4 linked regions of the Rattus norvegicus genome follow. The main gene of each other region encodes a partner of the protein of the gene in region 2 in a complex. Links are inferred from orthologs where the notes say so. Each region holds a gene or a part of one and is shown on either strand. Other genes may lie near its edges.

Region 1 (7,112 bases), on a different chromosome or scaffold from region 2:
AAGAAAAAAAAACCCAGGGAAATGGCAGAAAATATAAAATAGATATTTGTCCCAGTTACATATAATTATTCATATAAAATTAATATGGTCAATTATATGACTTTAAAACTATTAAACAGGGTTGGGGATTTAGCTCAGTGGTAGAGCGCTTGCCTAGCAAGTGCAAGGCCCTGGGTTCGGTCCCCAGCTCCGAAAAAAAAAAAAAAGAAAAAAAACTATTAAACAATATAAATTTTTTCCATTAATAACTCCCAGTCAAGTAATCACATCATATTGAGAATCATGACCACCAAGTTGACAAAATGATGTCAAAGGTAAGACACTCACCCTAAAACATCAATGTGAGCTTACCTCTTTTCTGGGAGAAAGTAAAAGTCATGGCAACTCCACAAATATTTATATCCTCTGATAAGTAACTCCATTGAGTCTACTATCTTATAGAATCAATTCAAAGGAAGAAAATGGTAGCAAATACTACATAGTTTATACAACAGAAAAATACAGGACTACTCACACAGTGAAACATTGTCTCAAAAAAATAAAAACAAAAACATATTTATTAGTTCAATGTTATAACCAGAAGGAGGAAAAAACAAAATAAAAAACCCAGCAGAGCAACTACACACAATCCTGTCTTCAAAACTAAATAAATTTATTAAAAATTAGCTAGACAGGGTAGCTGATGACTGTAATCCCAGGATCTGGGAGGCTGATGCAAGCCTGCCATGGGGCTGAGGCCATGAGTTCCAGCAGCCTGAATTACAGAGCGACATCTTCTCTAAATAAATAGCGAAAATTGAAATCAATTTCTTCCATTTAGGCATTTAATATCAAGAAATGTGGCTTAAGTACTTGGTTAACTGTACATAATCATCAAACATCACAAAACTTATATAATAGAAAACTATAATGCTAGTAACAGGTAAAACTAAATGAATAATGCAAAGTTCCACAAGACAAAATGAAAACAGTTTAGAGAACACACTTAAAAATCAAAAGTGGTGCATGCCTTAAATCCCTGAGCTAAGGAGGCAGAGGCAAGCAGATCTCTGAGTCTGAAGCCATCTGGTCTACAGAATGACCCCCAAAACAACCAGGGCTACACAGGGAAACCTGTCTCAAACAAACAAACAAACAAAACCAAAAATAACAAAAAAAAAAAAAAGGGAAAAAGAGAAGCAAATGGTATAGATGAATATAAACATATACTAAAATTAACTCACATCCATTTACTAATTGCCAAGTACAATTATTCTGTTTCTCTAAGAACTTTCTCAATGATCTCATGGTAACTAGTCACTCACTACTATATTTCAAGTGTCTTGTTGATGTTTTTTTAATTTCTTGGGTATTAATATAGAAAAAGGTTGACAATTACCAGTTAAGATATGAACCCAAGTAAATATACCTACATCCTCAAGATATAGTCACACCTCCTTCCCCCATTCTACCCCACCCCCCACTTCAAAGGAGCAGGAGGAGGAAGAGAAGAAATAGAATTGATTATTTTAGAAGCAATGATGTGGCTCAGCCAGCAAAGCACTCGACATGCAAACCTGACAGACAACCTGAGTTCAATACCCATAACGCATGTAAGGTAGAAAGAAAGAACCACCTCCATAAAGTTGTTCTGACCGCCAAACCCAAGTTGGAGTATGCACATACCAGTACAAGCACATTATACACATATACCTGAACAAATAAAATGAACATTTAAATCCCTCCTTTATGATTACCAAAATGCCAAAAAGAACAAAGTAAGCATCACAGTCCCTATCTCAAAGTGAAAATATAAAATCAGTTTTAGGTTTGTCAATTAAAAAAAAAAGTGAAGACATATACATCACATACAAGTTTATAATTGTATATTTCATATCTATATAATATAAAACACATACATACAATTACCAATGGCCTTAAAGACTCATGCATTCTTCCATTTTCTATGAAGTGATACCTTGTTTTAACTTTTTAACTTTGAGAAACAGAACAAAGAAAGTGTTTTTCTACAATTCCCGCCTCCCCAAGACAATAATAATGATGGTGATCACTATTTCTTCAACATTATAGAGTTACATATAGGGCTAATGAGATGGTCCAGTAAGTAAAGCACTTGCCACCACGCCTGATGACCAGGGGTTCATCCTCAGAACTCATGTTGGAGAAAGGGAACATTTATTCCTCAAAGTTGTCCTTTAATCTCCATAAATATGCTATCATCCACAAGGCAGGAAGGCAGACAAGCATATATACACACACAAATGTAAAAATAAAAACAAATTACACAGAGGTTTTGAGGACGTAGACCTCAATAAAAAAGAGCATACCTTTAGTCCCAGTACTTGGGAGGTAGAGGTAGGCAGGATCTTTATGAGGTGGAGGCCAGCCTGGTTTACAAGCAAGTTCCAGTATAGCCAAACTACAGAGAGAAACTATGTCTGAAAAAAAAAAATAAATGAAAAGAGCTTTCCTAGCACGGGTAGAAAAGCAAACAAAGGACTAGGATGGCTCAACAGCTCCTGTGTTCTTGCAGGGAAGCTGGGCTAGGTTCCTAGCACCCACATGGTAGTTCATAGTAATCTGTAACTCTAGTTTTAGGGACTCAGGATTTACAATATCCTCTAAGGGCACTGCCCATAAATGGTGCACATACATATATGTAAGCAAAACACAAAAATAAGTAAACCTTAAAAAAAACAAACAGAACAAGTTGCATTTCAGGCAAAATTTCAGTCTAAAGAAATAGATGTGAATATAAGACAAAATGTTAAACTATTGATTATATAAGGACAGGTGGTTTTGTAGGTTACAAGTTAATACTGGGAGTATTATATGTAATAATTTTCATAGAGGTCAGTTGAATTATCTAATTACTTCATTGAATTCTAATCAAGGAGGATTTCAGTAAAAATTTTGCTTTAAATATGAAAGATTTATTTACTTTTCTACGGGCATTTTAATAAGAGTAATAAAAGAAATACCAGTTCACAGAAACACACACATTGGAAGAGCCTAAAGGCAAAAATGAGTGGAAACAGCAGGTAAGGTAAAGCTGTTTACTAGACCTAGCAATATAATTGATTAGGAGAGTACAGATAAATAATTAAAACTCAAGTTTTCAAGATTTTTTAAAAGTTAAAAAAAACCCTAGATTTCTTGACTTAATGTTAGTCATGATTTTAGTGGATAGTATCATTCATCTCAAAACAATACAGCTTTAAAAATTTAAATACCCATCAAAACATCTCTGCAATTACTTATTAATGATTTTTAAGACCTAGAAGTTTAATTATCACTCAACACTATCAATGGCCTTAAAGATCTATGAACTTAGTTTTCTTGACCAATTATATAGGATATGTTTTTAGAATGCTTTACAAAATAATCTCTTGGCTTTTGAAAAAAGTTTATTGCAGGGATTCTTCAAATAGGTTTAGCAAATTTAAATACAAGATTCTATTTCAGGAAGTCATCTAGAATTAACTGTTTTAAAATAAGCTTTTATAAAGTCTTACAATTTGGGTGCAAGAGACCCAGGCCATTTGGCGCTTAATGAGTAGTATTCCTGGAAAGGTTATTACTTGACAATGGCCAAGGGTTAAGAATTCCTTCAAATTGGACAAAATAAGCTTCTCAGAATAGTGGGTGTTTGGTCAGATTTCAAATATAGCATTACATGCATGTGGTGTGAACGTGTCCATAATTTATAATCCCCAAGAAACTGTGACTTCCACAAGGTAATCTAGGTATTAGTCAACAGGCCTAAGGGTCCACCATGAGTAATCCCTTTTACTCCATTATGTTGGTGGTAGTTTCACTCCACCTCCTCAGTTCTAAGAGACTCCACTAAGAAGAGACAATTTTATATTACCTATTGCATAAAAATAATGCCCATCTCCTCCAAGGTCTTGGTTCAATGAGTGAGCGCCATGGGGAGACATACACACATCCCTCCCTCCCTCTCTTCCTTGTCCCTGGGGTAATACAAGGCAGATTATTTCCCTGCAAAAGCTGTGCAGAACACCCGTCGAAGTGAATGGGGGGAAATAGCAGAATCAACCTGCACCCACACCTCAGCCCCGCCCCACCTGGAAAGGGAGGGGGGTGGCGAGAGTATGAGGGTGGCAGAAAGGACAGAAAAGGCCGAGACAACCAGCCCCCAGGTTCTCCATACCATTGGCTCCGTCATGTTCCGCCGAGGCCAGAGACCCCGGCCAGATTTTCAGTCAAGCTCCCCAATCCGTCACCGCGGATTCATCCCAAACCCCGCGGTCCACAATCGCCCGGTGCCCGGTGGGGAGCCCAGCATTGGCCCTTTGGCGGCCCGATCAAGGACCTGAGGTGGGGGTCTCCCCGTCAGATGGGCGGATCCGAAGAGCGCCCTGGGGACCTCGCAAGTGACCACACAAGAGGATAAGTCGGAGGGAGGGGTCTGAGAGGAGCCGTTATTCCTTCTCGCTCACGCTTGGGAAAGCGCGCGAGGGAGGGGCCGGAGCCCCAGCGCGTTACCTAACGGTCCGGTCGGTCCGCCAGGCCTGAGGCGGAGGCGCGGCTACAGCGGTCCGGAGGGTTGGGGTCCACAGCAGGGGCGCAAAAGGGGTGGGAGGCGGGGGGTGGGGACTACAGGCAGCGACGTCGCCATGTTAGCACCTTCTTCCTCCGTCTCCCTACAGCCTCCAAGCCTGTGGCCCTTTCACCATTACTCACCTTTCCAGGTCACTAATTCATGTTCCTTTCAGCCACCAGCGAGCCCGGAGCGCTGCCGTGTTTACAAACTAGCCCCGGAGGAAAGGGCTGAATCGCACTTTAAAGGCCACGGGCTCCCACAGGCTTCCGTCCTCTCTCGCGAGATCCGACTGACAAGCCTTCTCCCCGCCCCACTCCCGGCATCCCCGCCGCTTTCTTCTCGCGCCCCTCCCCTTCACGCACACGCCCCTTCCTGATTTCCTCCGAAGGAGCGCCTGCAGGTCAGGTGACTCCGTCCTACACCAGGAAAAGGGCGGGCCTTCGGGAGGGCGGGGGGCGGGGAGGCGGGAACCAAAGAACACTCGGACGCTAGTGATTGGGCGAAGAGCAAGAAAGGCGGGAAGAAGTTCCGAAGGGGCGTGGCCAGGGTGCCCAAGGACCGTTGTTTCCGTAACCAGGGAACTGCAGAAAGCTGTGATTGGCAGCCATAGGGAGGCGGGCACCGGAGGCGGTACCGGATCTGGGGCGCGCGCGCAGGTGGCGGTGGAGAGTACAGGAGGGCGTGGGCGGTGTGAGAGAAGAAAGGTGAGGTCGGGGGAATCTAAAGGAACCCAGCCCCGGCTGCTGGTGTCTCCTTCATCTTGGTTTCCGGCCTCTCTAGGGATATGGGGATATAAAGGGAGACGCTTCTGAACCACCCTCCGAATACCCAGAAGCCAGAGCCGGGGAGCTACGCTTAAAGGTTTTGGAGAAAGGATTTGGCAGTCATCACCCCGTGTGCGGAGTGAAGCAAAATAAGTCAGCCCTGTGTAGAAAAAAGAAACCTTTTCTCAGAGAGGTCTTTGTTTGGATTTTACGAAGCCAGAACTGGAGCTGATCTTCGCCCCCACCCTGCGTCAAGTACATGGTGTATTACAGCACATACGAGTATGTTCAAAGGCAGTGATCAGAAGGAAATACACCGTCTTCCAATCCCATGTCATATTTTAAAACAAAGCAACGATCTTTTTCCTGGAGAAAAATCCTTGGAATTATGGGATTTTCTTTTCTCAAATTTCCTTTACTTAGTTACATATAAAAATACTAATTTTAGAGACTGGAGAGATGTCTCAGCGGTTAAAAGCACTAGATGCTCTTCCAGAGGACTTGGGTTCAATCCCCAGCACCCACATGCAACCCACACTGGTCTGTAACTCCACTTCCAGGAGACCTGACAAAACACCAATGCACATAAGACCGAAATAATTTAAAAATACCAATTTCAATAGGATCGTTTCATTCTTTTAAAGCTTAAGAAATCGGTATTAATGTTTTAAAGAGGACTAAAGGGCGCCAATGAGAACAGCATTCTTCCCACAATACTTTCCTTTTACTTTGTAAATTGTAGTGCCAAAGATATGCCTGTTAATTTTACCAAGTAGGTTTCAAAAACTGGGAGAGGCAGAGGCGGGGAGGACCTAAAGAGATGGCTCAGTGGTTAGGGGCGCTTGATGCTCTTGCAGAGGACCCAAGTTTAGTTTCCTATCACCACATAGTCGCTCACAAAGGGGGATCCAACAACCTCTTCCAGCCTCTGTGGGCATGCGTTCATGCAGGCAAACACTGAAACACAACAAGTAATGTCCTTAAGACTGGAGGCAAGAAGAAAGAGTGGCTGATTAGTGTAATGAGGACGAAAGAGACAGACTTTTACGAGTCTATAGCTAATTCAGGTCCACTCCTAAACATACTTATTCCTAGTGAAGATTTTGGTGCTTATTTTAGGGATATTGGTTGTCCAATAAATATGTACAAGTTGCAAAATGCGATTAAAGCACCTGTGAAGTCTTGCACTAATTTTTAAAAAGCAAGCCTTGGTTTTAGTATGTTTTTCCATTTGTTAAATGCTTATTTCTAATTTAGATTTATGAATACGATTTGTGTATTTACATAAAATACACTCAATTTCTCCACACCAAGTGAAACTAAAATTGTAAGTTTGCCGGGAATATCGTCTTCGAGTTAATGAGCCTGCAATCTAATGATGTGAGATTGTAATGTCACCGGACCTTTTAATAGGTTCCTGGCCTGTACACGTGTGTGTGAGCCAACTCAATCTTCCTTTAAAGCTAGTTTAATTACTTGAGAAACCTGAAAGAAACCAGATCATTACCAGTGTTGGTTCTGAAGTTAGAAGGAAAGTACCATCCTGTAACATTAGGAACACTGCAGGAATGTTAGGCTACTTAACCACTAATTACATCAGCAAGGTGTCATCTGCTCGGATTACTGGTTGGAAGGATGACAGACAAAAATGTAGGACTGCCAGATGATAAATTGCTAGGTTCAGAAAACTTTCACTAGAATGCTGCTCTCCCCCATCTGACAATATCTAATGGGAGAAAGAAAAAAACAAAACAAAACAACAAAAAAAATCCTAAAAATGT
Region 2 (7,099 bases):
CCCCCACACAAGCATCAACTCCGACAGCTGAAGCCCCTCTCACCGTCTTCTATGCAAAGCACTTCCCACTTGACAGACACCTGTTGTGTGCCTAGTGTGCCTACTGTGTGCTAGGATGAACAAGACAGTATCTGAAAGCACAGGAAATTACTGTCGGGCGAGGTAATTGGTGTGAAGAGGGAAGCTCCCCCACCACCCCCACCCCACCCCCGGCTCCTCCCACCCCCCCGCCGAGACACAGAGTAAAAAGAGCCAAGTAAGTAGACCTAGAAACCTGCTTTTACACTCTGTGGTTTCAGGTCCCATTTCCACACAGAAAGAGAACAATGGCTCCAAGATCCCACACTTAGGAAGTGTCTAGTACATACAGGCAGGCCACTAGCCACACGCCAGGACTTTATTTCTGTGAGGGAACCCCACTGGCATTCATTTCCAGTGCTTTTAAGTCTCTGCTGTTTATGTTTTTGTCTTACTCCTGACGTTCAGGAGAGAAGGGGGAGGGGTAAGGGGAGGATTGAGTAGAATCCTCTCTCTTACTGTGCAAGCTGCTTAGCAATGCCTGACGCCTGTGCCATACCTGGTACCCTGTGCCACGCCTGGTGCCCCGTGCCACACCTGGTGCCCCGTGCCATACCTGGTACCCTGTGCCATGCCTGGTGCCCTGTGCCATACCTGGTGTCCTGTGCCATGCCTGGTGCCTTGTGCCATGGCTACACCTTCAATCACAGTCTCAGAGCATTTGAGAGACTGTGACTGGAATAATTCCACAGGAGCTGGTTGTCATTTATTTTTCTGTACAGAACTTGGGTTTCCATTCCCACCTGCATTATTTTATGAAATCTGTAGGTTTTGTATCTTGGAGGCACCAGGGATAAGAAGGGTGAGAAAGGCCAAAGTAGCTTGTTGTGGGTCCAAAACGTCAATAAGACTATGAAATCCTTTACTGAAAATAGGTGTGTTTGGAAACTGCTCTCAAACATACAAGTTTGAGCCAGAGATTTTTTCAGTGTTACCTGGTGTTTCCACTCATTTTACCAAGATTCACTATTACAACATTAAACATAGGGGGAAACAATGGTCCTCAGCGGTCAGAGTTTTTAACTTTCTTTTCTGTACTTTAATTAGCTCATGGATTGAAATGTACTCAAACTGTGGGGCTGGCGGGGGTCGGGGGCAGCATTGGCTCAAAACACTTGAACTTCAGTATCAAAGCCTCCAGGGAGGAACTAACACACGCAAGCTCTGTTCTGGAAGACAATTTCTCTTCACACAACATGCAGCAAGCCCTTTTACCCGAATCGGCAGCACCAAGTCTCAACACAAGATTATGTAATGCAATAAATATTCTCAATATGCTGAAGACACAAATGGATTTGGTTCGCCTTGACTGATGCAGCTTCCCTCCCGGGAGCCTGTAGGCCGCTTTCCCCACGAGCCCTCCCCTCCTAGCTCCGGAGAAGGCGCAGTAGCAGATGCCTGAGTGGTAGGACCTCCTAGGGCCGCAGTAGCAGGTGCCTGTGTGGTAGGACCTCCTGGACAGGCATGCCTGCAGCAAGGAGAATGCTGTGCTTCTTTCTAGACCCTACTGTACACTTCTGCGCCCCTCTAGACAAGATTGCCACTGGGCCAAGCAAGAACGTTGGGAAGAACCGTACAGGAAGCAGGGGAACGGGAATGAGGTCCTCTCCGTGTGGGCGCGTTTGCTTCTCCTACAGATTGCAGGAAGCCTTCGCTAGCAGCCCATTTTCCTGACGAGCAACCAAAGATTTGCTTGGCTTAACTCACATCCATTCCGCTCCACATCCTGCCTCTGGCTACAAATGTGACCTGAGGTCAGCTTCTGGAGCAAGAAGCAAACACTCCTGAGCCCCGCACTTAGCAAACAAGGAAACCTCCCTTGCTCTTTATCTTGTCATCAAGATGGAAAGCCTTCGTGGCTAGGCTCACAGTGAAAGAAACAGGTTCATTCACACGAGGCTAGGATATAACTTTTAATATATGTACGTGCCTTCGATCGTTTACATTAGGCAAATCTCCTTTGCTTCCGATATTCCTATAGCACACACTGACAGTGAGTGAGTTTTGCTGTAGATTTAAAATGACACGTTCTATAGCATCCATATCACCGCTCAGTTCCTCTTAACCTTGAAACATCTTGACCACGTACTATGAAGCCGTAGTACTAGCTGCAGATGCGCTAGACAATGACAGAGAGAGAGCACTCTCAGTTCCTGGGGGAATCGCCCCTTCCGGCATGCAAACATACCCCTCCCCTAGCAGATGCTGTTTTGAGGGACGGCAGGAAGGAAGCTGGAGGCAGCTGAATTCGCCACTCCCCAGGTAGTTTGGGCTTCCCAGTCACCAGGACCCTCTTTCATTACAACTGCAAAGATTCCGTCCTGAAAATGAAAGCCGCTCGTGACCGGAGAGAAGGGGAAGCCAATGAGGAAGCGGGAAACTCACACTTAAGGTCAAACCACCTTTCTCATCTGCTTTTCTAGTCCCACTGTGGGGAAAAGACGATCCTTTCTAGTGCAAGTAGATACATAAGCTGTACAATTTGTGTCAATTTGAAGGGTAAGACCAAGGTTTGTTGTTTGTTTGTTGTTTCTTGTTTTTCAAAGAAAGAAAGGAGGCACACACCAGAAGCAGCCAGACTGCTACATCAAACTGTTCTAGCCCTAAGTCCCTATGATCCCAAAGTGGAGTTGGAAGCTCGTGAATTCATTCATGAGCATGGCTCCTGTGCATACATGCTCACTGAGGACAGCCGTCTACTGAAGCCTCTCTGAGAGAAGTGGCTGCTACCGCAACCATTTTAAATATGTTGATCAGCATTCTGCAAACCGGTCCAGGACCCAGAAAAGCAGCATTAAAAAGGGGCAGAAATTGGACAGGTAGTGCCTGGTAACGCTAGCCTTCCTTCACTCCTAGCTGTGGCTTGTCCCATATGACTTAGCCTGTGTTCGTGAAAGTTATCTCTGTCATGCAGACATATTGCTCTGCAGTAAATGCAGACCATGTAAACAACCTTGTGGCTGCTCCAAAACCTACAGCCCTGGGGTAATACATTCCTTTTTGTGGCCAAATTGCAATGCCCTTGAAAGTTATCTGCAAAAGGAAGTCAAACCAGCACCTTAGTCCCTTATTTAAATGGTGGAAGGTATATATATATATATATATATATATATATATATATATATATATATATATATATAGTTTTCTTGAAATATCCATAGCCTGATTTACTTGGAGGTTTTCGAATAAAGCACACTTATCCTCTGAAGCACAAACATATAAATTCTGATAGCTGTATCATCATCTCTCTTCCAGTGGCAGCTCCTTTTCCTTTCTGAAAATGCTCTGACATTTCTAGGGGACACAGCATCTCAGCACAGAATACCTGGGAACCTTGCCATAGAAAAACGCTGCCCGCTGTGACTGGAAGATCACTTTCTTAAAGGGACCTTCACCTAGGCGGCTGCCCGCCTGCAGTGCCAGTGTTTGCTCCTTTCCCTGCTCTGGTCCCTGTTCTGTGCTCCTGTCTGCAGCCCAGATTTAACTCGGGGTCTTTCTACCAGAGGAACATAGTTCTAATATATTTGTAAAGACCTCTAAACTCTATGAATCTATTCTGCAATATTTAAGTTAAACCAGTCTGGAAATAAACATTTATGTTTACTAATGACATTTTTTGAATGTTTTTATGAGACCCATAACATTTCTCAGATAAAAGTGAGATCCAGACTTCTAAGCAAGCCTCTCTCTCTCTCTCTCTCTCTCTCTCTCTCTCTCTCTCTCTCTCTCTCTCCTCTCTCTCCTCTCTCCTCTCTCCTCTCTCCTCTCTCCTCTCTCCTCTCTCTTTCTGCACCCTGGTGTGTGTTTCTTTTACTCTGCCAAGTCATAATAATAACGGTCTGTCCCACCTTCTGGAATCCTTCATTCCAAACAGAAAGGTTTCAGCATCTCTCTGAGAAGAGATGCTTGCCCAGAGAGAACGCCAGTCTTCCTGCCCAGAGATAGTACGCTTCGTTAGACCGGCTCTCCAACACCCTCACTTCCTACTTTTTCAAGCTCTCTCCCATCCCACCAGGAGCAATGACAGATATCATCCACCCTCCCAAACCAGGTTAGAACCCAGAATGAGCAAGGAGTCACCTACCATTCCGTGCCTGAGAACCAGGATCCTGGTCCGCCTGTTTGCCCCAGAAATCCTCCCTACTGGGCTTTCATTAGCCACATTCCAAACCGGAATAAGGAGGAGAGTCTTTGGAGGTGCAGAGATTGTTTAAAAATAATAACAGACAGGTGATTTCCAAGAAGACCCAATCTTTAGCTCACTCAAGCCCCTAGGAATTGAGGAGTGAGGAAGAAAAGGGAAATATGTAAAAATGAAAATAGAAAAAAAAAGGGTAAGCATATAAGAAGCACCACCCACCCCCATAAAAATAAACGGAGACGAGGAGGCTTAAGAGAAGAGAGAGCGGCTTGCTGAATCACCCTCTCACTGCCTGGAAACCATTGTGCAGCGGGAGGCTGCCTGTACCATTGTGGAGCCTACCAGAGGAGACGGACAGAGGGCTTGGGGAATGGGGTTGCTATGGCAACTGAAAGGAGCACACATGACGTCAAAGCCCAGAGAGGTCTAGGGAGGGGTAGGAGGAGGAAAGAGAAAAAGGAAAAAGTCTATCTGTGGCTACAGCTACCTCGTTTTCTGGCAAAATGAGAAGCAGGCTTCGGAATGTAAAGGAACGGGAATGTGGCGGCCGCGATCTGCAAATTCAGCGCTGGCGGGGGATGGGGTGGAAGGGATTCTGCACAAAGCCAAGAAGCATCTTCTCTGCCTCTCGCTCCAGCTCTGCACAGCACCAAGGGCAGATCAAAAAGCCATTGGGAAGCCAGTCGCCCTCGTCTTTCAACTACCTCAGCTTTTTGCAAACAGTGAAGAAAGACAGAGGTGTACCATCTCTCTGAATGTCAAAACAAACAAGAGATGGACTCAACCTCAGAAGGGAAGCAAGATTGGACCTGCGCCCGGAACACAGAGGTCATTTGTCCAACTCCACTTCTCTGTCTTCCTATTTTGTAAAATCCCTGCATAAATATCCATTAAAGCAAACTCGCTAGACTGGTGTTTATACTGCAGTTTAAGGTAGAAAGAAACTACTGACAATTTGAGTTAATAAATTAGGGTACTGGGTACTCATTTTCTGCTGGCAGAAAATTCCATGGGAAACTAATGTAAAATGCATTTACTACATATTTCATTTGTAAGCAGCTTTTCTGATTTTGCTATAAGTTTTAAATTATATATATAATGCATATATATTCATATACAATTCATATATATGAATTGCACACAATATATATGTATGTACATATGATAGCTTGATGGAATGATCCACAGAGCACTTGCACTATTAAAATGTCTACCAAAACACATAAGCCATCTTTTCAATACATATTTCGAAAGTAATCCTAGTCTTTGGACTTTCTCAAGCTACACAATGAGATTCAATGCCAGTTTTTCTCAAACACCTTTCAGATGGGTTTCCAGTCTGTTGAACCAAGTAGTGCTAAAATGCCAGTTTCCACACCATGCCTTGGAACTGGCCCGCTGACTTGAACAAGGAGCTTCTGTCATGGGGTGATGAAGATGATAAAGCAGGTGTAAAGCCAAAAGAGATGGCAGACCCTGTGACACGTCCTGAATTCCTAAGGAACCACGTCGGGTTCGCTGTCTCTGTGCTGTGTTACCCAAGAAGAAAGTTCGGGAATAGAGGTTGGGTGAGCTTTCACTCTAGGACTCCCAACACCGCTCTGGTTGTTTCTTTGTTTTGAATTCAAGTTCGATAAGAACCAGTAGCTGACTATTAATTTTTACTTTCCACTTGGTCTACTTATACGGCTTCCTAGTATAAAACTATAGATGGACAGGCAAACAACTTCACAATAGACAGCTTCTAAATTATTGGTGTGAATGTCCTTTCTCTCCTCTGCTTCTCTCTTCCCACCCTTTCTGTGTTAGGAACCAGATGTCAAGGCCTACACCGGCTAAACAAGCCCTCTGCCACCATGTAGCACTCCCAACTTGTTTCTGTAGCAAAAGTCAAAAGTAACTCAACATTGACAAGGAGACACTGAACTTCAGCTCTTACCCCGCACTCTGAATGAATACTAAGTCAAGAAAAGATATGTACCGCAATGTGAGGGTTAAAAAAAATGTAAAGCTAGTAAAATAATATGTGTCTTCTAAATGAAAAACAAAACTCTGATCTTGTGGTAGAGTAAGATTTCTTAGAGCAAATAAATGTATTCGCTCTGAAAAAAAAGGGGGGGGGGAGAGAAGCATACTTCATCAACATTAAAAGCTTTTACTTACCCACAGTCATCAGTGAGAAAGCAGACTAGAAGAAAATATTGACATACCTGTGAAAATATACTCAATATACACAAATTCCTGATTATATGAGCATTTACAATCAGGTGATGAGAACAAAGATGTTTGATGAGTAAGAAGACCTCAACAGACACCTGAAGGAAGGCTTATCGATAGTCCATATGTACATGAAAAGGCATTCAACATGACTAGTCATCGGGAAATAATGCTAATTAAATCCACAAAGAAATTCCACTCCAGGCCTACAAAAATTGCTAAAATTAAAAGCACCCATACCGGCAGGTCTATGAGAGCTCTTTTCCTCTCTGGCTAGAATAGAAAGTGATAAAGCTACTTTGGGAAGCAGGTCGGAAGGTTTCCATCATGATAAACAGACACCTACAGTGTGACTCAACAATTCCATTTCCAGGTATTCTTGCAAGGGAATAAAAACACGCCCACAAAATGTTGCGCATAAATGCTATACCAGCTTCACTTGCAATAAGTAAGTAAACTACAAGTAATTAACAGTGTGTCCATAGAACAAATAAATAAACGATTGTATACTCGTGTAGTAGAATTTCACAAAGGATTACAGCCACGAATAGGTTAAAATCAACCATTTCCATTCATAATGGAATTAGTGTCTAGGAGTAATGGATGCTCACCTGATATGGAGAAAGGTAGGATTGTTTAAATCTTTAACCCTCAACCTTCATA
Region 3 (6,539 bases), on a different chromosome or scaffold from region 2:
CATTATTGACTGGCATTATAGGCATACACCACCACAAGCAGGCACATCTGGTGACTTCTGGAATGGCCTCCTACGCGCTTTGGAGGGCACGAGGATGCAATGAAAGGTGGCCCGCGGCCTGTGCTTAGTTAACTGGATCTTCTCATCTGTCTGGTCATGCTTTGCAAGATTTCCAACCTCCTCTTTGGTTTGTCTACAGCTGACCCAGTGAGACTTTTCTCAGCCTTACTGGGGCTACAAGCATCACACCCACTAGAGGGCAGGAGGCTCAAGGCCACCAAGCCAAGCCACAGGCATGTGTCCCCGGCTACAGGGAGAGCTGGTATGAAGTCCAGTCAGATCTGACTCCTGAAGTCATTTGTATGTCACGCTTTTCTATTTAAAAACACTCGGGGCCATCTGTAATCATCAGATCCCCCAGGACTTGAGCAACTGTGACAGGGGACACTGACAAGGGAACAGCCACTGGCACTGACTCCTGACCTCGTTTCTACCCCACAGACAGACAGTCTTCCTGTCACTCACTGAAGCCAAAGCTGAGCCTGAGCCTTCCTTCCACCAGGGGCTGCAGCTCACTGGCCTGACCCACAGCAAACCCCCAGCCTTGCTTTGACACTGGCCTTGCAGGGAGGACAGGCTAGGGCCAAGGGGACCAAGAATCGGAAGCCGAATCGGAAGCAGGAAGTGGATCCTGTGATCCCAGTAAACCCCAATGCCACAGTGTCAAGCACACGGCTCTACCTGCTGGAATGGAAATGTCCCCAGTGTGGATATCGAGGTGGGCCTTGGGGAAGTGATGCTGTGGGACCAGAGGGGTGGGGCCCCACTGTGGTTCAATGTTGGAGTGCTTGCCTACAGTGTGAAGGGGCCTGGGGTCGATCCCTAGCACAAGCACAAGGAAGGAAGGAAGGAAGGAAGGAAGGAAGGAAGGAAGGAAGGAAGGAGGGAAGGAGGGAGGAAAGAAGGAAGAAAGGAAGGAAGGCAGGCAGGCAGGCAGGCAGGCAGGCAGGCAGGCAAGCAGACGGGCAGGAAGGTCTGAGAAGGCTCATTTGCTACCTTAAGAGGAGAGAGCCCTTTGAGGACCAGAAACGGGTCTTCATCAGACAGCATACACATCAGCCTTGGCTTTGGACTTCCTGGCTTCCAGAACTGTGAGGGATGTATTTCTGTTTTGAAGTCAGCCAGTATTTTGTTTACTAGTCTGCCTGGACCAGACAATATCACTTCCAATTCTGAGCAAGGTGGGAACAGGTCAAGAGCCAAATAATGGCGACGTAAAGCCCTTATGACAACCACTCCCAGCTCCTGCCTACAGAGCGCTACTCCCCAGACGCAAGCTTCACCCAGAAGGCCCTTCCTGAGGGTCTACCCACTTATTCCAGTCTGGGTACTTCACCCACCACCAACATATACCCAGTGGCAGGTCAAAAGTGTTAATTGGGCTTCCACTTGGGGCCTGCAGTCCTTCTGAGGTCATGAAGCCAACCTTGGAGAACATCCTGGCCCCTCTGGAAAACCCAACTCCACTGCCAAGACAGTGGTGGACCACATGAACCTGAGGACACATTTAAGGCAATACAGAGAAAGATTATGTCCACCTGTCACTGGTGGCTTAAAGCCCTGCCAGCCAACACACTACATAAGGCAGAGAGTCCATGGCCTGTACAGGAGGGTTCTATGCCACCCAGAAAGCTACCTCTACTCTCGTGTGGAGTCAAAGAACAGCCTGTAGGCCTGGGTCCCCAGCACCAGCACACACGGCCACACCTACCCTCTGAGTAGCGTGATTCAGCATTTCCTGCCAAGCAGAGTCAAACTGGCGCTTGTCATCCTCCAGCAGCCGCTGCTCGGCCAGGGAGATTGTCTCCTTGGCTGCACGGAGCACCTCAGTGGCCCTCTGGAAGTCCTGTGTGGCTTTCTGCGCTTCTAGCTGAGCCTGTTGAGAGAGAAGGTCTTGTAAGGCCTGAGGTGAAGCCCGGGGGTCCCTGGGTCCATCCCCCACCCCCAGAGATGAGTGGCCCAGGATTTGATCCACCTCTGCCTCCCTCTTGGAGGCTGCACAGGGAAGTCCCTCACGCACAGGATGGGGTTACAGGAGGCCGATGGCTGAGTGAATACCAGGTTGGTGAGCAGACAGCCTCCATAGTCTGGAGCTCGACAGACCTTGCATCTGTGCTGCCAATGGCTAATGAGGCCTTTCTCTGATGCCCTGGCTTAGGAATGAAGCCCAGGTGGGCATAGCAGTCCTGGGAATCTTCCCTGCACGTCACAGCCCAGAGTGCTCCAGAGACCACAGTTATAGGCCCCATTCTGCAGATGAGGCCTAGCAGCTGGAAACAGCTTTTCCTGAGACTGCAGAGCTGGTCAGAAACAAGGCTCCAGGCCAGGCAAACACCCCAGTACACGACTGCCAGCCTAGCAGCCCACTGCCAGGCAGCCCTCTCAGCCCACACTGACACCCAGGCCCAGGCCTACCAAGAGCACACGTCCTGCTTTCAGAAGGAAGGGAAACGCACACAGCAGCTGTGCTCCTATCTACGGCAGACAGCGTATGCCGGGCCTGTGTATGTCCGTGGACATGTACGTACAAGGACGTGTATGTCCGTGGACGTGTGTACATGGAGAAACCTAACGTTAACACTGAAGACCACTCCTCGGGAGCCTTGTTTTCTGTGACAAGGCTTCTCACTGGCAGGAAGTCCCCTGTGAGGCTAGGCTGCTGCCTGTGAGCCCTGGGATCCACCCACCTCTCGGTTGCTGGGGTTACTGCTGGGCCTGGCTTTCTTACGCAGGTCCTGTGGATTGGGAACTCGGTCCAGATGCTTGCACTGCCAGCACTTTAAAAAGTCTCAGGCCAACATGTAACCCCAGAGCATCTAAATGTGATTAACGAAAAATGTAAACATCCCTTACAGCCTAGACAGAGCTCAGGAGTTGAGGTGCTTGCCACACATGCGAGAGGACCGGAGGCTCAGATCTCCAAAGCTCACAAACGCCTGGAGGTGTGGCAGCTGCCCCAGCTCAGAAAATGAGGACGGCGGTTCTTGAAGCAAGCTGGTTAGAAAGACTAGCTGAAGAGTTCCGGGCTCAAAAACTGAAGCGGACCATTGATTGAGGAAGATTCTTGATTCCCACTCACCCACAAGCACATGTGCACACATAGCCATGAGTACATACATGCTCACATGTATGCCACATGTGAGTATACATACATGCACCACACACGTGCGTGCGCACACACACCAAAAGAATATCCACCTCATTTTAAAATCTCAGTAGAAAAATGTTGGTTATCCCATTGCCATTTTTCAGATGGATGAGATGTGAGATATACTAAACTAAGATAAACTGAAATCAATCTCATCTGTTTGTTTCCTCGTAGGTGACTCTCTACTACTTTAGGGCTGTTGGTGTTCCCCCCTCAAGAGTGGGCTGAGTGATGTGACTGCATCATATGCAGGGCTGGGAAGATGACACCTCCCAGGTAAAGTGCTTGCTATGCACTTGTGAGGACCTAAGTCTAAGTCCCCAGAGTCCACACAGAGCCGACCCGATTAGCATGCCTCTGAAACCTGGTGCTCCAGGGCGGGAGGGAGATGGCGGAGACAGCGGAATCCCCCAGATGCCCACAGACCAGGGCGGCTAGTGTGGTGAATGCAGAAACATAGCCACATCCTATCTCAAACAAGGTAGTCAGTGAGGACCCACACCTGAGGCAGTCCTCTGATGTCCACACATGCTCTGTAGCACGCTCCCCTAAAAGCAGTCAGTGGGGCCACACTGCTGACCTCTCTTCTCGGGCTCACATCCAATTTCCTGTCTGGCCAGGGGCGGGGCATGGCTACATGCTAATCAGCCCCAGTACCACTCCCTGAGTCCAATTATGAAAACCCTGGTGGGACACCCACAGGACAGCCCCTGGGACTTAAGAGGGGAACAAGTGGGCCCCACCCTTCCCCAGAGAAAGTCTCACATGACTCAGAGGAAGTCTTCACGTAGACTGTGGGTACTTTGCAAAGAAAATTAAGGGGAAAAGAAACGAAGAAGCTGAGAACACCACAGCCCTGGGGGAAGAAACAGCCCGGTAACCCACGGTAACCCGAGACGGGCATCCGCTACTCTGGTCTGTGCACAGCCACAGTCCCAGCCCTCCAGCCCACAGAGATCCACTCAGGGGACTGCGCCCCACATGTAGCTGATGTGCAGAAAGCTATGTGCAAGGCTATGTGCAGGGCAGGAGAATTGGACTTGCTTCACATAAGAGGAAACCCAGCAAAGTTTTCCTAAAGAGAGACCTGAAGGGCAGGCAGGAGCTGCAACTCAGGATGATGGAGGGAGGTCAAGGGGAGCGCCTGAGGTCAGACTCCAAAGATGGACCATGAGACAGGGTCTGTAGGAAATCTGATAATGACTGGAAAGGAGCATTTAAAAAAGCCAGCCTGGGCTATACAGCAAAATCGTGCCTCAATAATAATAATAATAATAATAATAATAATAATAATAATAATAATAAAAATAAAACAGCCTCAATGAATGCCCCCTACCAGCCATCTACATCCACTGAGGTAGCAGGAACCACACATAGGGATGGGGATGCCCACCCTCTCTAGAACCGATCAGCCACTGAGAAGTAACTGTCTGGCACTGACAACCCGACTCTCTCTCCAGCTGAGCCCCCTGCCCATTCTTACTTCTGCCACAAGAACAGTCTGGGGCCTCCATCTTTCCAGACGGGTCCAAGAAGAGTAAATCTGGACAGGTTTAAGGGAGATGAATTGTGATCCATCCCTCCAACCTCAGTCTACCTGCGGCTTCTCCACAGCTCTGAGACACGGGCTCATCCCCTGGGACCCTAACATTTTCTAAAACGCGATCTCTCTGTCCCTTCTTTCATTTGCTATCTATCTATCTATCTATCTATCTATCTATCTATCTATCTATCTATCTATCTATCTATCTATCTTTAGTCTGTCTGTCTGTTATCTATCTATCTATTTATCTATCTATCTCTAGTCTGTCTGTCTATTATCTATCTATCTATCTATCTCTAGTCTGTCTGTTATCTATCTATCTATCTATCTATCTATCTATCTATCTATCTATATCTAGTCTGTCTGTTATCTATCTATCTATCTATCTATCTATCTATCTATCTATCTATATCTAGTCTGTCTGTCTATCATCTATCTATCTATCTATCTATCTATCTATCTATCTATATCTAGTCTGTCTGTCTATTATCTATCTATCTATCTATCATCTATCTATCTATCTAATTTTTTTTTTTTTTTGGTTCTTTTTTTCGGAGCTGGGGACCGAACCCAGGGCCTTGTGCTTCCTAGGTAAGCGCTCTACCACTGAGCTAAATCCTCAGCCCCTCTATCTAATTTTTGAGATAGCTTCTTTGAGGTTGGGCTCAAACTCAAGGCAATCCTCCTGCCTCGCCCTCCTGAAGTACGGACTACAAAGATGAGTCAAATCCCACTTAAATTTTTAAAGGTCCCGTTAGACACAATTGGCTGGCCTGGGACTTGGGTGTGTAGAGTAGGCTGGATTTGAACTTGGCACAGTCCTCCTCTCTGCTTCCCATCAACACCCAGCCTTGTGGGGTTTTGTTATTGTTGTTTGTGGCATGTGTGTGTGTTATGTGTGCACAAATGTGTATTTGTATGGTCTGGGCACGTGGGTAGAGCCTGAGGTTGACAATGGGCATCTCCTGTATGGCTCCACCTTATCTAGAACTGGGGCAGGATCTCTCAGTCGGGCCTAAAGCTCATCAATTCATCTAGCTTAGCTGCCCAGCTTCTTCCCGGATCCTGTCCCTCAAGAGCTGGGAGTACAGGCAGACTGCCACACCCACCCAACATTCACACTCGAGTAACACATACTTTATCCTTTGAGTCAGCTCCCCAACCCCTGTATTCATTCATTCATTCATCATTCATTCATTCATTCATTCATTCATTCATTCATTCATTCATTCAAAATTATGGTCCAGGCCAGCCCAGAAGCTGAATTTAATAACTAAGAATGAACCTGAGAGCTGGGGAGAGGACTCAGTGGTTACGCACACTTACTGCTCTTACAGAGGTCAGGAGTTTATTTACAGCCACCTGTGACTCCAGGGGACCCAGGGTACACACACAGACACACACACACAGACACACACACACAGACACACAGGTAAAAAGTCAAGTCTTACACCAAGGAGTACCGCATAAGGAATGCCTACATGGTGGGAACAGCTGTGCAGACAGGCAGGTGTGGAGACGTCTGAGGCCCACGCATACGGGAGACCTCCTATAAAAACATCCCTCTTCCTCTTTTTCTCTCTCTGGTTTCTTTGAGACAGAGTCTCATGTAGTTCAGGGTGATCTCAACTCACTACATAGCGAGGCTGGGTGTGAACACCTGATCCTTCAACCCCAGTCTGGGATTACAGGCATGCAATGCCACACTGAGGGCTACTCATAAGACACTTCCTAAAACACACACTCACAGGACAGACAGGCAGGGTACATGACGGGAGGGACATTCTA
Region 4 (7,339 bases), on a different chromosome or scaffold from region 2:
CCAACTCAGCCAAGCAACTCCACCCCCACCCCAACTCTATTGCTGCCTTCTGGAATGTCCAGCTGCTGAGATGTCCAACTGGAGACAGACCCAGAATTCCCATCCCCACCTTCATCCCATTTCGGAGGCTCTTTTCTCCAGGCCTTGCTGCTGCCTCAACCTTCACAGAAGCACTAACCCGAAGAGGACCTAACTGCAGGACCTCAACTCCTTTGTTAGTCCTCTGCAACTCTCCCCACTCAAATCCCTAGCAGTGCAGGCTCCATACCCAGACAGTTGGATTCAGTCCTTCCCAGGACAGACTTTCCTGTTCCTTGTCAAGTCCTTCCTCTATCCCTCCCAGCAGAAAACCTGTCCCACCCCAGGCATGGCGCGCCTAGGTACCCGGCGTCACCAACAGCCCCGCGCCCCTCCGTCTTCCCTGTCCACGCAGGGCGCCGCCCCCTCTCTCAGCACAGGGTTGCTTGCGTCTTACCTGAGACCGCGGCACCTGCGGGAAAAGGTTGAGCGTGGTAGGCCTCTTGGGCCGGTAGGTGTCTCCGCTGCCTGTGCCGGGGCCCTGGCCCTGACCCTGGCTGCGAGACGCCGGCTCCTGGCCAGACTCGGCTTTGGAAGGCCCCACTCCTGGCCGTTGGGCAGCGAGCTCGTCGTCGTCCTCTTCGTCGTCCTCGGCGCCCGGAGTGTCACTTGCCGCGTCGATCAGGTCCATCTGCAGCATCTCCGCCTGCAGCCGGCTCCCCGCGCTACCGCTGCTACCCGCAGACAGTAGCCCGGCGCGCGGGGGCTGCGCGGCGCGGACGGAGGGGAGTCAGAGGAGGGGCCTTGTGAGCGCGGGAGGGGTCTCGCAGGAGGGGTGGGTCTGATGCCTAGGTGCCCCGCCCCTCAATCGGACGAGTCCATTTCGCGGCCGCAAGGGGTGGGACACTGGGAGCCAGGCAGAGACAGAAGCACTGGGCCGCTCCCGTCCGCCACTCCTCCTCCCCCCGGAGGCCGGATCCTTACGCCGCCAGCGCAGAGAACCGCCCACGCCTCTCTTCTCCCACGGTCCCCCCTCCGGATTCCTTGCACCCTTCCGTTCCCTTGGTAACGGCCAGTGACCTCACCCGGGTTGTAAGCCGAGCCCAGAGTGAAATCACCGCTGTTGCCATGGAGACCTAGGGGTCGCCCAGGAATTCCGTCCCCAATGGGGATGAGCATGAGCGAGACAACTGGCATTTGAAGGGGACATTGAAGCAAACTGGGGAAAGTGCATGTCAGCCAGGTAAGGAAGACTGCACTGCGGGCAGGAGACCCTGACTGGACCCGAAGGGGAACTTTAAGGGGAGACCTTCCCAGTCAGCTCTGACCTGAACACATCCCTCAGCCAACCTATCCTTTATAGACCCGAACTGTATGCTACTTCCACTGTTGCCTCTAACTCCTGGCACCTTGGACAGATCCTTTGACTAGTCAACCCTCAAGAGTTGACTAGGCCTATAATGCTGTCCTCCAGGTGAGAAAGAGAGAGAGAGACAGGGAGGGAGAGAGGGAGGGAGAGACAGGAGGAGAGGAGAGAGCGAGCGAGACAGAGAGACAGAGAGAGAAAGAGGAGAGGAGAGGAGAGAAGAGAGTGAGACAGAGATGAGAGAGACAGAGAGACATAGAGAAGAGGAGAGGAGAGACAGAGAGGAGAGGAGTGAGACAGAGAGACGAGAGAGAGAGAGAGAGAGAGAGAGAGAGAGAGAGAGAGAGAGAGAGAAAAGAGGAGAGACAGAGAGACACAGAGAGAGAAACTTTGACTAGACTCCTACCAGGAGATCACTCTAGTTAGCCTACTACCAGGGCAGGGGGAGGTGATAGTTCTGGCTAATTGCATTAGACCCTCTTGAAAGCTTTGCATATGGGAGACAGTGGGTTTTTTTGTTTGTTTTTTTTTTCTTTTTTCTTTTTTTCGGAGCTGGGGACCGAACTCAGGGCCTTGCGCTTGCTAGGCAAGCGCTCTACCACTGAGCTAAATCCCCAAACCCCGGGAGACAGTGGTTTTAAAGTTCAAAGCAAGTATGACCCATCTCTGGGACCACTCTCTAAACCCAGAAGTAGTAGCCTCTGCCTCCATCCTTGCTGGCCTGGTAAGAGAGTGAAGGAGTTGGGAAGCATAAAGTCACCCTCACAGCTTGCTTTCCCTTTGCCTGGAAGTTTGTAAAAGTGCTAGGGATACCAGGAGGGCAACACTAAGACAAATGCCCTTCCCTGGTTCACACCATGGAAATGCCATATCTAGCAACTCAACTACACCTGGTGCTGGCCTCTGATCCTTAGCCCTGTGCCGTTGCCTTCCCTATCCTGCAGGTAAGTCCTTGCTCTGTGTTCTGACAACAGGATGGGGATTCCCATCTATCCCGGGTACCTTGGCACTCAGATATACAGAAGAGAGCCTGTCACTAGGATAAAGCCAAGGGGCTCTGAGCAATGCCAGTACTGGACCAACCATGCAGCAGGGGCCACTGAAAGCCTAAAATGCTGGCGGTGTGGTCAGGGGGGTGCAGGAGCAGTCACAGGAGCTAGTCCAGCAGCACCCGGGTTCCTCCTTCCTGCCCCAAAGCACTGCAGATTCCACCAGGCTCCACCCAGTACTGTCGCAGGCCCTCTGCCAAGAAGCTCATGAGAGGCCCTTCCCTTCACTCTGGTCCTCACTGCCACTGTCCTACATCTCAAGCCCCCTGCTCTCTTTCCCTGTGAACAACTGAAGAAGCTGCTTCCGGCTTTAGTACTGACAAAAATAATAAATGGAGATTTTGGATTGAGCACCCAAGATGTGTCAAGCATTATACTAGATGCTTCCTACCTTGTTATTTCACTTCCCGGGAGTGCCACACACACTCACAAGCTCCTTTGTAAATAGCGGGGTTCCCTAATCTTTGTGCCCATCCTCCCAGCCACTCAGACTCTTCAGACCCAGCCCTTACCCGGAGAGACAAGGTGTCTTTGCACTGCAGGCTGATGCCACACTCATCAGTGATCTCCGAAAGGTCTTCATCCTCAAACTCCTCCAGGCTGATATCATGGGTGAGCCTAGTGGGGACAGAAACCAAAGTCACAACCCAGGGCCCCTAAGCCCCAACTAAGCCTGCTGGCCTCTCCCTCTTCTCAGGGGAAGACCGTGGGAGGCAGGTAGCAGCTCCCAGATGAAGGACTCAGTCTGTCAGCGCAGTGGCAGGGGAAGGATTTGGGGTTGGAGCCAAAAGGCATTCCACCTAGGGTGGCGGAGGAGGCATCTCCAGGCTTCTCCAGCATCACCGGCTGGGAGTTCTCCATCCGGCTGCCAACCAGAAGGCAGTCCTAGAAGGCCCAACTGTCCAGACCTTCAGTTCTACTGGAGAAATGCCTTTATGGCCAAGGCAGTGCCAAGGCCATTTCAACCCCCAAGAGGTACCAGAGTAGGAAAATCTTTGCACTCCACAGTAACAAGACCCAAGGAGCCACCAGAAGGGCACAGTAGGTGCCCCTTTCTCTCACCCACAAAGATATACGCCACTGAGCCATGGTCACAGTGAGGGGGACCTGCCAACATTCTTGGTGTCATCTCTTCAACTATACAATCTCATCTGGTATAAGGACCCTGAACAAATGGGGTCAGGGAAGACCAAGGCTAGGTCTTGTGAGTGGCCATGGAGAGCACTTGGTACTAGACCACTAACAGACTTCCAGGAGCCCAGGCTACCCTGTGTGCCTACCTTGGAATGCACTACTGAGATTGCCACTGTGGTGCTGACCTGTCCCCTGCACCGGCTCACTCTGACCCTGGTACTCTGTCTGGCTTAGTATAAATGGGACATCTGGGGAGTTGGAGAGAATGCCTGGGCCTTTTCCCAGAGACCAGGAGGTTAGGCACACAGCAGAGGTACACAAGCTCATCCAAGGTCACCCAGGAGAGGAAGGACAGGGTGCAGCTCCCAGGGAAGCCTAGAAGGCTCGCACCTCTGTCTTCTACCTCACTCAGTCTGAACAGGGCCCCTGAGCTCAATAGAGCACCTCCGGACAACTCGCCCTTCCCCCACCTGAGGCCAGGCCCCAGGACCCTACCAGCGTTCCCACTGATCCTCCAACCAGCTGTCATTGTCTGGGCTCGAATCCATCTTCAGTACCAGCTGCATGGAGAGCCCTGCCCGGCCAGGGGGCTGCGGGGCTCCAGAGCTGCCCTTTCATGCCCAGAAGGGTAGGGGGGCCAGAGCTCAAGGCAGGGCTGGGACTTCTGGCCTCCACAGACTGGGCCTGCCTTTCTGCATTCTGCCGGCTGCAGAAGCCCGGGGAGCTCATTAAAAATAGATGGGCCAGAGAGGAGGCCGCAGCTGCCGACCCAGGCCCCAGCCCCAACTCTTCCTGGCCCAACCCTCAGATGCGGGCAGCTTCCTTCCTTGGCAGCCCGATGCGCAACGATGTCGTCGCCTCCCCCGCGGGATCAGGTTACTGCAATCAATGCTACTGGCTCCACCTGCCCTTCCAATGCCCCTATTGGGGGCTGGAGTGACCCCCCCTTCCCTCCCAAGGCCAGGCATGTAAGCAGACAGCAGAAATCTGGTAATTTTTTTCCCTCAACGCCAGACCCCGATCTGCTTTAAAGGGCCAGCGCCACACTCAGGGTGCCAAATGAGAAGATGGAAGGGGCTCCCGAAGGGCCCCAAGAATGGACACCTGATTCCACACAGACACAGGCTCCGCCTCCACACCGCATCTGGGAGGCTTCTGCAAGCCCAGGGCCAGGGCGGTTGGTTCAGGGATTGGTGCTGGCTGGAAGGATGCGCAGGAAGACAGCAATGGGTACCACTAGTTTGGACGCAGGATTGGGAGTCATTTGGGAGTGACTTTGACTGAACATGGAGGTCCCTAGTGACAACTGCCCTGGAAGATTCTGACCCCAAGGGTAGCTGCAGGTTCTCAGGCTGGGGGGTGTGGCTACTAGCTGGTACTGAAATGACATGGGGACTGGTCCAGAGGCCAGAGCACCCTCCTCAGTCTGGCCTCTTGGCCCTGTGGCTAACCCTAAGTGCAGTCTGACTGTAAGGTCTGGGACTCAGACAGCATGGCTGAGTTCCTGGGTCCCACGAGGCATCTTCTCTGGGAGTGTCCTCGGATGCCCCCAGCTCCACTGGTGTCTGCACACACCTCTGTCTCCTTATTGCCAAACCCTGGTCCAGTTCCTGCATTAACTACACCACCTTGACTGCCAGCCTCAGTCTCCCCTCTCCCCCTCTGACCTCTCCTGTGGCCATGAGACAGTAAGGGACACCACCATCCTTTCTTTCCTCACTCAAAAACCCTCCAGGACTCTGCAAGGGGGAGACTCAGCCTTGTATGTTTACTGTTTGCTGGGCCTTGCCTCCCAAGGGTGGGTACTGGGCCCCAACAGTGCTCAGAGAAACCTTCCTCCAGGAAGCCCTCCTGACCCATCCATCAGAAATGCCCTACCCTGGGGTTGGGGATTTAGCTCAGTGGTAGAGCGCTTACCTAGCAAGTGCAAGGCCCTGGGTTCGGTCCCCAGCTCTGAGAAAAAAAAGAAAAAAGAAAAAAAGAAATGCCCTACACTTCCTGACTACAAAGCTGGGTGGAGTACATCCCCCTCATCATCTGTATTTTTCCCTTCCTGACTCCCATCTAGACCGGATGCTCCTGGAGGGCAGGTCTGGTGAGGTGTCAGGTACACACTCTAGGCTCAGTAGATACTTGCTAGGTGCGGGCCACAGGACAGCCTCAGTCCTTACCCTTCCTCTCAGACTGAAGGGTTTGCAGTGGTCTAAGGATTCTACATGGCCACAGGATGTGTCTGTGTATCCATGTCCTCTAGGCATGGACCAAGAAGCCAGTCCACCAAACAACAGGACTGAGTGGGGCCAGACCAGACCAGACCAGGTTAGTGGGGCAAAGGTGAGAAGGGCTCTGGGCTCTGGTCAGGAGCCTTCTATTAACTCTTAGCTCCGTTGAGGGCAGGGAGCGTGTTCTTGTCTTCTCTCCCTCCCAAACTCACTCATGAACGAAGTATCAGGGATGACACACTTCATCCATTTAAAACCCATGGTGTTCTTACCCTAGTCTTACTTTGGGGTGCTTTGAGGTGGCAGGGTGACATCATGGGATGACATCATGTCAGGCCTGAAGTGTCTCACTCTTCTTCCAAGCTGCCATGTGCTACATTTCTTTACCACCCTGGAATAGGGTTCTGGGCCATCTCATGGATAAGGTGCCCTAAGCCTCAGGCATCGGTATTGTAAACCTCAGTTCCCTTCCTCCTGGCCACCCCAGGATAAGATGGAGCATGTGAGTTACAAAGGAGGGAGGATGTCACTACCTAGGAGGGGATAGAACTGGCCAAGGGCTGACCTCTACTGCCACCCACTCTCCCCTAGTCACCATGGTCTAGATCTCCTGGGCAGAACCAAGAGACACTTGCCGAAGAAAGGGACTTGCAACTCCGTGTTCACAGATACCAGCTGTAGGGAAGGAAGAAAAGAGGCAGGGAAGCTGGAGGGTAGGCACGTGCACTGGGAAGACGGGGGCGGGGGGGAGTGTTCTTCTGACCTCGCCCAAGCCATTTTCTTAGAAGTATGAGCCCTGACCTGGGAGGTGACCCAGGAGAACTGCGCAGCCCTGGCAGGGTGGCAGCTTCTTCCTAGGGGTTGGGTCTTGGGCAGCTTCCCAGGGCAGAAGCACTTCGCCCATTAGCCCTACTTGCCCATGTTGGCTAGGCACATAGCACAGCCACATTTGGTGGCCCTGTGACCCTGGAGGCCAGCCTGACTCTGACGTCTGTCTTTCTGCAGTACACAGCCTCTCAAAGTGTTGGTCTCCAGCCACACCTTGCTTAGGCTGTGACCTGGAGCACACACCACACTCCATACCCTGGCCTGGCCTGGGCTGGGTTCTGCTAATGGTCCAAGCAATCCTGCTCCAGGTACTCACATGCACTTCCACACTGCCTTGCTGCCTTGGTTCCCTTGTCCTTGCATCCCTCCCCACAGCAGTCCCAGCTTCCCTCACTTCCTCTTTCACTCCTTCAGCCAAGATACAGGCTGAGATGGCCATGCACAGGAAGTGAGGGTCAAGCACAGCATGGAGCCTTCACTGAGTAATGCTGACTGCAGCCAGGCTGTCAGAAGCCACACTTGAGCCTTCGCTCCCCAGCTTCCTGAGTTAAGAGGGCTAGCCATGGGCCTGTGGGCTCCCTATGATGAAGCCTATTTGAGACCCAGGGGTCCAGCCTGTCCTCACAGCCCTAAATCTTACAGAGCTGGCTTCCAAGAGGTGCCCAGGGCACCCCACTGCCTAGCCACCGCTCTACCAGCCCCAGAGCTCCTCTGACTTAGAA

Evidence for each region.
Region 1: the proteins of Mapk10 (region 2) and Atf2 are in contact, whole or in part, in a crystal structure (PDB 4H36), measured with the Homo sapiens proteins. The link is inferred for Rattus norvegicus from reciprocal best matches to the Homo sapiens genes MAPK10 and ATF2. Residues at the interface, in NP_620448.1 of Homo sapiens: Asp150, Ala151, Gln155, Met159, Glu164, Arg165, Tyr168, Val197, Lys198, Ser199, Asp200, Cys201, Trp362, Glu367; in NP_001243019.1 of Homo sapiens: Lys48, His49, Met51, Thr52, Leu53, Lys54, Phe55.
Region 3: the proteins of Mapk10 (region 2) and Sh3bp5 are in contact, whole or in part, in a crystal structure (PDB 4H3B), measured with the Homo sapiens proteins. The link is inferred for Rattus norvegicus from reciprocal best matches to the Homo sapiens genes MAPK10 and SH3BP5. Residues at the interface, in NP_620448.1 of Homo sapiens: Lys121, Asp150, Ala151, Gln155, Val156, Met159, Leu161, Glu164, Arg165, Tyr168, Tyr171, Val197, Lys198, Ser199, Asp200, Cys201, Trp362, Asp364, Glu367; in NP_004835.2 of Homo sapiens: Val341, Val342, Arg343, Pro344, Gly345, Ser346, Leu347, Asp348, Leu349, Pro350.
Region 4: the proteins of Mapk10 (region 2) and Mapk8ip1 are in contact, whole or in part, in a crystal structure (PDB 3PTG), measured with the Homo sapiens proteins. The link is inferred for Rattus norvegicus from reciprocal best matches to the Homo sapiens genes MAPK10 and MAPK8IP1. Residues at the interface, in NP_620448.1 of Homo sapiens: Asp150, Ala151, Gln155, Val156, Met159, Leu161, Glu164, Arg165, Tyr168, Leu169, Tyr171, Val197, Lys198, Ser199, Asp200, Cys201, Trp362, Asp364, Glu367; in NP_005447.1 of Homo sapiens: Pro158, Lys159, Arg160, Pro161, Thr162, Thr163, Leu164, Asn165, Leu166.

Annotation. Positions count from the first base shown.
Region 1 is NC_086021.1:79,197,899-79,205,010, forward strand, and holds the start of Atf2 (cyclic AMP-dependent transcription factor ATF-2), read right to left. Parts: upstream 4,848-7,112; 5' UTR 4,708-4,847; intron 4,576-4,707; exon of another isoform or gene 4,175-4,575; intron 1-4,174. UniProt on the Homo sapiens protein: Transcriptional activator which regulates the transcription of various genes, including those involved in anti-apoptosis, cell growth, and DNA damage response.
Region 2 is NC_086032.1:6,799,748-6,806,846, reverse strand, and holds the start of Mapk10 (mitogen-activated protein kinase 10), read right to left. Parts: upstream 4,554-7,099; 5' UTR 4,163-4,553; intron 1-4,162. UniProt on the Homo sapiens protein: Serine/threonine-protein kinase involved in various processes such as neuronal proliferation, differentiation, migration and programmed cell death.
Region 3 is NC_086034.1:6,601,348-6,607,886, forward strand, and holds part of Sh3bp5 (SH3 domain-binding protein 5), read right to left. Parts: exon of another isoform or gene 5,394-6,539; intron 2,744-5,393; exon of another isoform or gene 2,476-2,743; intron 1,937-2,475; coding exon 1,772-1,936; intron 1,150-1,771; coding exon of another isoform or gene 1,057-1,149; intron 1-1,056. UniProt on the Homo sapiens protein: Functions as a guanine nucleotide exchange factor (GEF) with specificity for RAB11A and RAB25. Inhibits the auto- and transphosphorylation activity of BTK. Plays a negative regulatory role in BTK-related cytoplasmic signaling in B-cells.
Region 4 is NC_086021.1:98,815,348-98,822,686, forward strand, and holds the start of Mapk8ip1 (C-Jun-amino-terminal kinase-interacting protein 1), read right to left. Parts: upstream 4,351-7,339; 5' UTR 4,134-4,350; coding exon 4,063-4,133; intron 3,052-4,062; coding exon 2,946-3,051; intron 785-2,945; coding exon 476-784; intron 1-475. UniProt on the Homo sapiens protein: The JNK-interacting protein (JIP) group of scaffold proteins selectively mediates JNK signaling by aggregating specific components of the MAPK cascade to form a functional JNK signaling module. Required for JNK activation in response to excitotoxic stress.